Tribolium castaneum: one gene and its partner. The main gene of each other region encodes a partner of the protein of the gene in region 2 in a complex. Links are inferred from orthologs where the notes say so. Each region holds a gene or a part of one and is shown on either strand. Other genes may lie near its edges.

Region 1 (4,218 bases), on a different chromosome or scaffold from region 2:
GCGTGTAGTGGGTTGAATGGACGGAATCTGCGTTTGATTTATTTCTTTTTGATGCTTTTGCACACCCATTCCATGCCCTCTCTGACACCGTCGCCTCGGACGGCCGTACAGGCCTGGATTTGCCAGGGTCGGTCTTTAATACTCGGCAAACCCAAAGCCTGGGCCAAATCCGCGGCGGTGAGAGCTTCAGGAAGATCTTGTTTGTTGGCGTAGACTAACAAAGGCACGTCTTGGAGTTTATCGTCGGTCAGAAGCTCGTATAATTCGATTCCGGTCTCTTCCAAACGTTTCTTATCAGACGAATCCACAACATAAATCTAGAACAAGCCAAACTAGAAACAGCCGTTTTTGGGGGCGAGAAAATTACCAAAACGTCGGTATTTTCGAAATAGTTTTTCCAGTAAGGGCGGATCTTGCGCTGTCCCCCTATATCCCAAACGTTCAGTTTGAAACCTTCAGATATGACCGACTTTATGTTAAAACCGGCTGTGGGTGTTATGTGATTAATGTCTTCAGATGCCAGGGTCTTGAGGATGGTCGTTTTGCCCGCATTGTCCAAGCCCAGGAGAAGCAAACGCAATTCGCGCTCAGGGGCGGCGCGAAGCTTCCGCAAAAGCGACAAAAGACCCTAAAAGTTAATTATTAATTGATTTTTATCCAATCTACAATGATATAAGGTATGAAAACTATGAAACCGTATAAAATTAAAGTGACGATATTGGTCAATAAAAAATAAATCCCCTTGCCCCTGAGCAGCAATTAGTAGGCAGCACACATTACACAGCTGTGTAAACTGAGCAGGTATTTTGGCGTCGTAGCCTGTTCTTGTTACCACGTTAAATGTTAAATAAAAATATAAAACGGTCAGATCACATTATTAACGGTTATATGTAATAGAACAAAATTCATACAGAGTGTTTCACATAATTTTATGAGCCCGCGCCTGTAAATTGCCACCAACAATACAGATTCGGAAACGAACTCGGATTACAAATTTTGAAAAATTGTATAGTCATACCTTCAAACATTACAACGTTTTAAGTTAGTTAAGGATTAAAATAAATAGATTAGAATCATGTCAATTTTGTCTCTTGATAGAACACAATTATTATTTCTGTAAACCTACAATTAATGAATATTAATAAAATAGTGATTAGTTTTACAACTACTGTATTTTATTGATCTAGTGTTTTGTGACTTTTATATACGGAGTGTCCGTTTTTCGAGCTCCTCCATGAGAATCTCAATTATTTTAAATTTTTGAATAATTATTCCGATAGAACGAAAATTTGTAAGTTTTGTTTTTAGTTTTTCAAGCGAAAATCAAAAGAACTATACGTTTTTAACTAGGACGCATTTTTTTACAAGGAATCTAAATGTATCATCGTATTTTCCAAGGCGTTGTTGATATCAGAGTTACAACGCTCAACTCTGGTTTTTCTTATTGAAACCATACACATTCGCTTTATGTATTTTTGAAAAATGTTTTTATTCCTGATTACAACGATGTATCACATGATTTGGTCAAATCTTATATGCTGACCAAAATGGAGAAAAAAGCATTTTTGCGAAGAGTGCTTTGGAAAAAACGTCAACAATGTTGTTTTTAAACAAACTAGATTTTAAAAATTATTATTAAAAAAATAAAAAAAAATATTTATTAGTATTAAGTTTTCAATAAACTATTAAAAAAACAGTTACCTTTTTTATGAAATTTTTTTTATTTCATAAATCTGGGGTTAAATTACAATTAATTTACTTTACTAGTTTGTATAACACAACTTTTAGGAATGTAGTCCTAGTTACGAATAGCAGTCGTTATTACGACAGTTAAAAAGGTCGTCTGGAAAAACGTACGCTCCGGAACTTAAAGGCATTGGTAACATAAAAAACAACTTTGTTTTAAATGATATTGAAAACGCTAATTACAATAGTGGAAACCGTTTCTCTGTATCTGCTCTCTAAATCAAGTTATTTAAAGTTGAAATTATGACGTCATAGCCGCCTATCGAACATTTGGTTCAATATTATAATCAAATGGTTTTTGACTTTAAGTGACACTGATAAAATTTATCAAGAAGTTGAAAACAAAATGTAGAACAGAAAAAGGAGTTATTTTTTTATTTTTTGGTCACTTAGAGGGTTCAGTAATAAAAGGATTCTATGAGAGGCGGTTGTGACGTCACGTTTTTTTTTTTCGATTATCTCGCTTATTTTATTTTTCATCGCAGGAAGTTTTAAATGAACGAAATGGCAATTTTGACAATATTTTGGACGAAACAAATCATAATTTCGATTTTGAAATTCTTTTGAATTGAAACTCTCGTTAGGAATGTCGTCATTTATATTGCGATGTAAAGTATAAAAGTGTTTTAACTGTTCCAAATGCTGTGCGGAATTAGAACAAGATTTACAAGAGTTGTGGTGCATTATAAATAGAAAAGATAGAGTTGGGTTGATAAAATCGTCAGGAGTCGTTAAAATATGTTTCGACTATAGAAAGTTGTTGAAAATGTTTTATTATAATAAATAATAACATTAATAAGTAATAGGATTATTGTTTTTATCACTCCTATTGATAAATTTGTTTTTGCGCCTGCAGTTTATGCACCAAACTACACTCGCGTGTATATTTGGCTGCCTAGCCGATTGTATACAAAGTGCCGTAACCATGGTGATTGTTTGACAAGTGTGTCATTTACAATAAGAAATTTATTGTAAAACGCCTTTAATTAGTATTTAAACCGTAGTTTTATTATTTATTATTAAAATCCTCACCATTTGGGACCTCCTCCAGCCGAAGTCAAGTCAAAAAAGCAAGGAAATAGCTGCGAAAAGGGTCAAAGTTGTGAGACAACACCAAACACAAAACTGTCAACGTAAATAACTTAAACAAATCGATACCATGAAAGTGTATTACAATGGGTTCAACCTCCATCGCCAGTTCCCCAGCCCACAAGACTTGGTAGTAAATTTTATCGATCACGTGTACCGGGACTTGGAAAATATCGAGGTTAGCTACCACTTCGCTGTATTGTTGGTTGCGAACGTTGTGGCGTTTCGAGGCGCGAAAAATGAAACAATTCCCGTGGAAGGGAAAATTCGACAAATTTCATGCAACGAAGACAAAGTTTTGGTGCTTTTGACTAATGGAGACTTGTTAAAAATAACGGAATCTGTGATAAAAGTGCCAAAATTGATGGGTTTGGATGACGATGACACCGTTGTTCAAATTTCGACTGGATCCAAGCTTTGTGTAGCTTTAACGAAAAAGGGACTCTTGTACAATGTGCCAAATAAGTTAGAATTTGTAAGCGGGGATATAATTGAGGTGAAAACGGGCCGCGAACATTGCTTACTTTTAGACAAAAGCGGAAATGTTTTTAGCTTTGGTAGGGGAAGGTGGGTGCTAGTGGCCAATTGGGACGGAAGTAATCTTATGTTTTTAGTCGCGGACAACTTGGGCATGGATGTCTGGATGATGAATCCGAACCTAAGTTTATAGAAGCGTTAGGTGGTGTGAAAATTGAGGCTATTGAGGCAGGAGGCTGGCATTCGTGTGCTTTGAGTAAAGAGGGGGATTTATACGTTTGGGGGTGGAACGGAAGTGGACAGTTGGGTTTAGGGGGAAGTGATGATGGGGTGTCCATTATGGCAACGCCTCAAGTCTTAGATTTTGATTTTAATATTAAAAATGTTGGCTGTGGTAATAAACATACAGTTGTTTTGACAGGTGATTGGTTAGTGCTTTAGTTTGATTGGATGTGACGTTTGGTGGTTTCAGATGAGGGAAAATTGTTTGGCTGTGGTTGGAATAAATACAAACAGTTGAAGAACGACGAAAATGAGGTTTTTCGTGAGTTGATTTTCCTGTGGGATTTTTCAAAGGAAGTTGTGAAGTGTCTAAAGTGTGGTCCTTGGAATACGCTGGTGTTGTGTACAGGGTGACTCGGATAAGAAGGGCGGGATGAAATAAAACAACCATGAACATTTTAATGTAGTCCACAGTATAATAAATACTGGTATACTTCAGAATTACATTATAAATATACAATGTGTATGGTATTTTTTTGTATTTTTGTGGTTTTTAAAATATTTTCTGAAAATAACAATTTCCCACAAAGCAATTGTTCAAACATCTAACTTTAATAAAACATGATTTACAAGTCACAGATATTTACGAACAAGAACACGTTGTATTTTAGGAAAAAAGCTAGA
Region 2 (3,458 bases):
ATATTATTTAGTTTACTTATATCTTGGTGTTGTAAACATTAGAATGATTTTGTAATTATTAATTCCATAGAAATGTGGCAGTATGAAGTGTAAAGCTAGACTAAATCAATATTTTATTCTTAACTTTAATTTTGTAATTATTGTGATGAATAAATTATGTTTATTCCTATTTAAAAGATTTTATTTTGTCCATTTAATTTCTTAATCTACATTACTTAATGATTTTAAACCTATAGTTTAATTTATCGATCAGTATTTTACATAGAAAATGGTTTGAAATATCAAACGCCCTCATTTCGTAATGTGGATATATCAAACGTCTCTGTACATATTATAATTTAATTCGATATATTCGCTCGACTCAACATCTCATAGACTTAGCTTTAGTATAATAAGACAAACACCCAAAGCAACGTACAACAGAGCGAATATATCACCCAAGCCCGTCACTGGAAGCCGCACAATCGTGCAACTTCCAGCCTTCCACAAATGGCAGCCTTATGATATTTTTTATACAGTTCTTAAAGGCCATTTTCTATTTATCATTTTAATTTGTAATTAATGTTTTTAAAAAGAAATGTAAAAATGTACTCGTTATATTTAGGTAATAAATATAAGCAAAAAGTTAGATTTTGTTTGACACGACCTCCGTTTTCAACCGCTCGGCCAACGCCTTGCGCAGCTGCAACTGCTGAGACTCGGGTTTTTCCCCCGAAAGGACGGCTTCGGCGGCTTTAGCCGACTTTGGCCGAACCTTAGCCTTATCCTTCGTGCCGTTGTCGGAACCCAAGTGTTTCTTCCTAGCTTCTTTTTTCAATGCTACCAACTTGTCTCGTTGGGCACGGAGGTATTCTTGACGCTTTTGCAATTCGGCGGGGTTTATCTAAAGGGGAACTTTTTTTTTTCAAATTTTTCTACAACCAAAATTTACCTCAGTCTGCTTTCTGTCGTAGTTTATTTCAGCCTTCGTTTCCGTTTTAATCACATCAACTTTTTTCTGTTTTTCTTCCGTCACTTTCGGTTCTGAAACAACCCAATAGTAAGTGACAATTAATAGTTGGTAAATAGCGACCTTTTGTTTCTTTTAAAGCTTTCTCAAGGATTTCTTTCTCCTCTAAAATGTACTGAACCTCTGTCTCGGGTTCAGAAGACGAGGCTTCCTCTTTTGGAAAATTTCTACAATTCGATTTTTTAATTAAAACAGTTTGGGGAAACAGCCACGGACTTTGCCACTTCGTTTAGAATTTCCTTTTCGAAATCGGACGACTTTTCGATTGTGACCGCAGTTTCAACTTTGTCGTCCTTTTTCTTGGGAACAAACGACTGTGGAGTGATTCCATACTTCCTCTCGATCAGCTCAAGAGCTTCCAACTGCAACTCAACATTTCTTTGGGTCATCATCCGTTTGAACATTTCGTAGTCGTTTGCGGCCCAAATTTGTTCAAAAATATTCTTGAACAGTAATGATTTTAGCGATGAATATTTAAAGCGATCAAATATTTACATGGTTGAAATTGACGTGATATGTGTGGCCTTTATTGCACGCTTCTTCGAACTGTTCTGGAGTGATCCCGATGTCTTCCATGAAATTGCCCAACATAAAATCGACCAAATTCTTAAACTCGTCAAAAATGTTCTTATATTCCTCGTTGTCGGTAACGTTAGGTTCGAAAACTGTAAGATTTTGAAATAAAAGCACGCACTTGGACCCTGGACTTACTCAGCGATTTTTCTTCGATGAAACTGTCCAGAGGCGCGCTCCAGATGGGGCCGTTTAGGAAAGCGACCAAAGAGTCGAAAACCCATGAATTTTCCTCTTCCATTTTTGGGTTTCTTCAAGCGAGTGTTGCACGCAAAATGGTAAATATTCTGGGGGTCACATTTGTGTTCGTTGGGGTAGTCATGACAACTAAATATCCAATGGTGGTGCCTCCCATTGTGGGCTGATATGGGTTTATTGCACTCAGTCACTGAATTTCTAGATATTTTTGTAATATTTAATTTTGGGCAAATTAAGCGCTTTTAGAAATTTGATTTTTTTCATTAAAACCTGGTTTAAACTTAGAAGTGGTTTTAAAACTACATATTTTCTAATATTAAAAGATACATCGCCTCAAAACAGTAATACATAAATTACATTCAACTCAATCAATTTTATTTAAAAAAAAATCGGCTGGACCAGCTTTCGGTTCAAGCGACACAACACTAACATTCGAACGCCATTCCACTTGTGCGTCAAAAATCTGTCACTTTGTTGTCACAAACGTCATTTACGTGGCCCCCATGTATTTTATTTGTTATTGAAAAAGTACATCTGGTTTTTCCCAAAAATCGAAATGGGGCTTTGCAAATGCCCAAAACGTCGCGTCACAAACCAATTTTGCTTCGAACATCGAGTCTGTGTTTGTGAAAATTGTATGGTCACAAACCACCCAATTGTAAGTTTTTTCCCTCAATTGCCTATCGTTTTTAACAAAATTGCGTAGTGCGTGGTCCAGTCCTATTTGCAGTGGTTACAAGACAGCGACTACAACTCAATATGCGAGTTGTGTAGCAAAGAACTGAACGTGGAGGACAGTATTAGACTAACTTGTTACCGTAAGCCCCCTTACCTACAATGCTCTAGTTTCAATTTGGCGAGTTTCAGATGTGTTTCACTGGTCGTGTTTGGATCATTTTTCACGTCAGCTGCCGCCTACGACAGCCCCCCGAGGGTATACTTGCCCTTCGTGCAAGAGCCCACTGTTTCCTCCTTCAAACTTAATCAGCCCTGTTGCTGATGTCTTGAAGGAGAAGTTGGCGGGGGTTAACTGGGCCAGGGCGGGTTTGGGGCTCCCATTGGTATAAATAAGCTTTTATTTATTTTGTTTGATATGGGGTTTTAGTTGTCTGAAGAGAGGGAAGTGAAGGCTGTGGTCAATCACACGTCGTCTGTATCAACGAGTAAGTCTCCGAATCCGTCGCACTCCGTTGTGAATGTGGAGGATCAAGGGGCTTTCAGTAGGACAGGGGCTGAGGCATATCAGGCGTCTTCAAACAGGCGAATTTTCCAAGATGTGAGGGAGGTCAAACCGGTGGTTTTTGACCATGATGAAGACAAGTATAAGAGGAGGCCTGCAAGCGAATTAATGAAGACTTGGTGGAGGTAAGCGCGTTTCAACATTGGGATTGTTTTTATCTCAATTTTTCCAGGATAACCTTTGGAGGGCCCTCAAAAGTGAGAGGTGGGAAATCTATTTATAAGAAGTATTGCATGTTGGGGATTATCCTTGTGCTGGGAATCGTCGTTCTTATGTTGATTATGTCGCGGTTAGGGAGGTATAGCACCGATAATGATCCCAATTTTGATATAAGGAATAATCCCAATATCCATGTTCAACACATGCAAGCTCTTGATTGATTGTGAATATTTTTCTATTCTCTACGCTCTATTTACAGTTATAATTTGTACATATTGG

What was found. Proteins that work in one complex are often made in the same cells at the same time.
Region 1: the proteins of cilia- and flagella-associated protein 36 (region 2) and ADP-ribosylation factor-like protein 3 are in contact, whole or in part, in a crystal structure (PDB 4ZI3), measured with the Mus musculus proteins. The link is inferred for Tribolium castaneum from reciprocal best matches to the Homo sapiens genes CFAP36 and ARL3. Residues at the interface, in NP_080016.1 of Mus musculus: Glu44, Glu45, Ser46, Lys47, Leu48, Thr51, Glu52, Lys58, Val61, Glu62, Leu65, Glu76, Phe79, Gln80, Cys83, Thr84, Ala88, Lys89, Leu97, Val100, Leu101, Ala103, Glu104, Asp105, Phe106, Thr107, Ile108; in NP_062692.1 of Mus musculus: Leu3, Leu4, Ile6, Leu7, Arg8, Lys9, Leu10, Lys11, Ser12, Arg19, Lys35, Glu40, Pro47, Thr48, Gln49, Gly50, Phe51, Asn52, Ile53, Lys54, Trp66, Ile74, Tyr77, Ser80, Tyr81.

What each region holds. Positions count from the first base shown.
Region 1 is NC_087395.1:18,694,916-18,699,133, reverse strand, and holds the start of ADP-ribosylation factor-like protein 3, read right to left. Parts: upstream 2,906-4,218; 5' UTR 2,782-2,905; coding exon 2,779-2,781; intron 629-2,778; coding exon 368-628; intron 318-367; coding exon 39-317; 3' UTR 1-38. Other genes in the region: RCC1 domain-containing protein 1, read left to right, coding at 2,906-3,402, 3,450-3,733, 3,785-3,948. UniProt on the Homo sapiens protein: Small GTP-binding protein which cycles between an inactive GDP-bound and an active GTP-bound form, and the rate of cycling is regulated by guanine nucleotide exchange factors (GEF) and GTPase-activating proteins (GAP).
Region 2 is NC_087396.1:17,347,610-17,351,067, forward strand, and holds cilia- and flagella-associated protein 36, read right to left. Parts: upstream 2,071-3,458; 5' UTR 1,824-2,070; coding exon 1,721-1,823; intron 1,675-1,720; coding exon 1,505-1,674; intron 1,453-1,504; coding exon 1,226-1,452; intron 1,177-1,225; coding exon 1,073-1,176; intron 1,024-1,072; coding exon 932-1,023; intron 884-931; coding exon 626-883; 3' UTR 581-625; downstream 1-580. Other genes in the region: zinc finger protein-like 1, read left to right, coding at 2,337-2,438, 2,487-2,598, 2,648-2,841, 2,886-3,145, 3,193-3,400. UniProt on the Homo sapiens protein: May act as an effector for ARL3.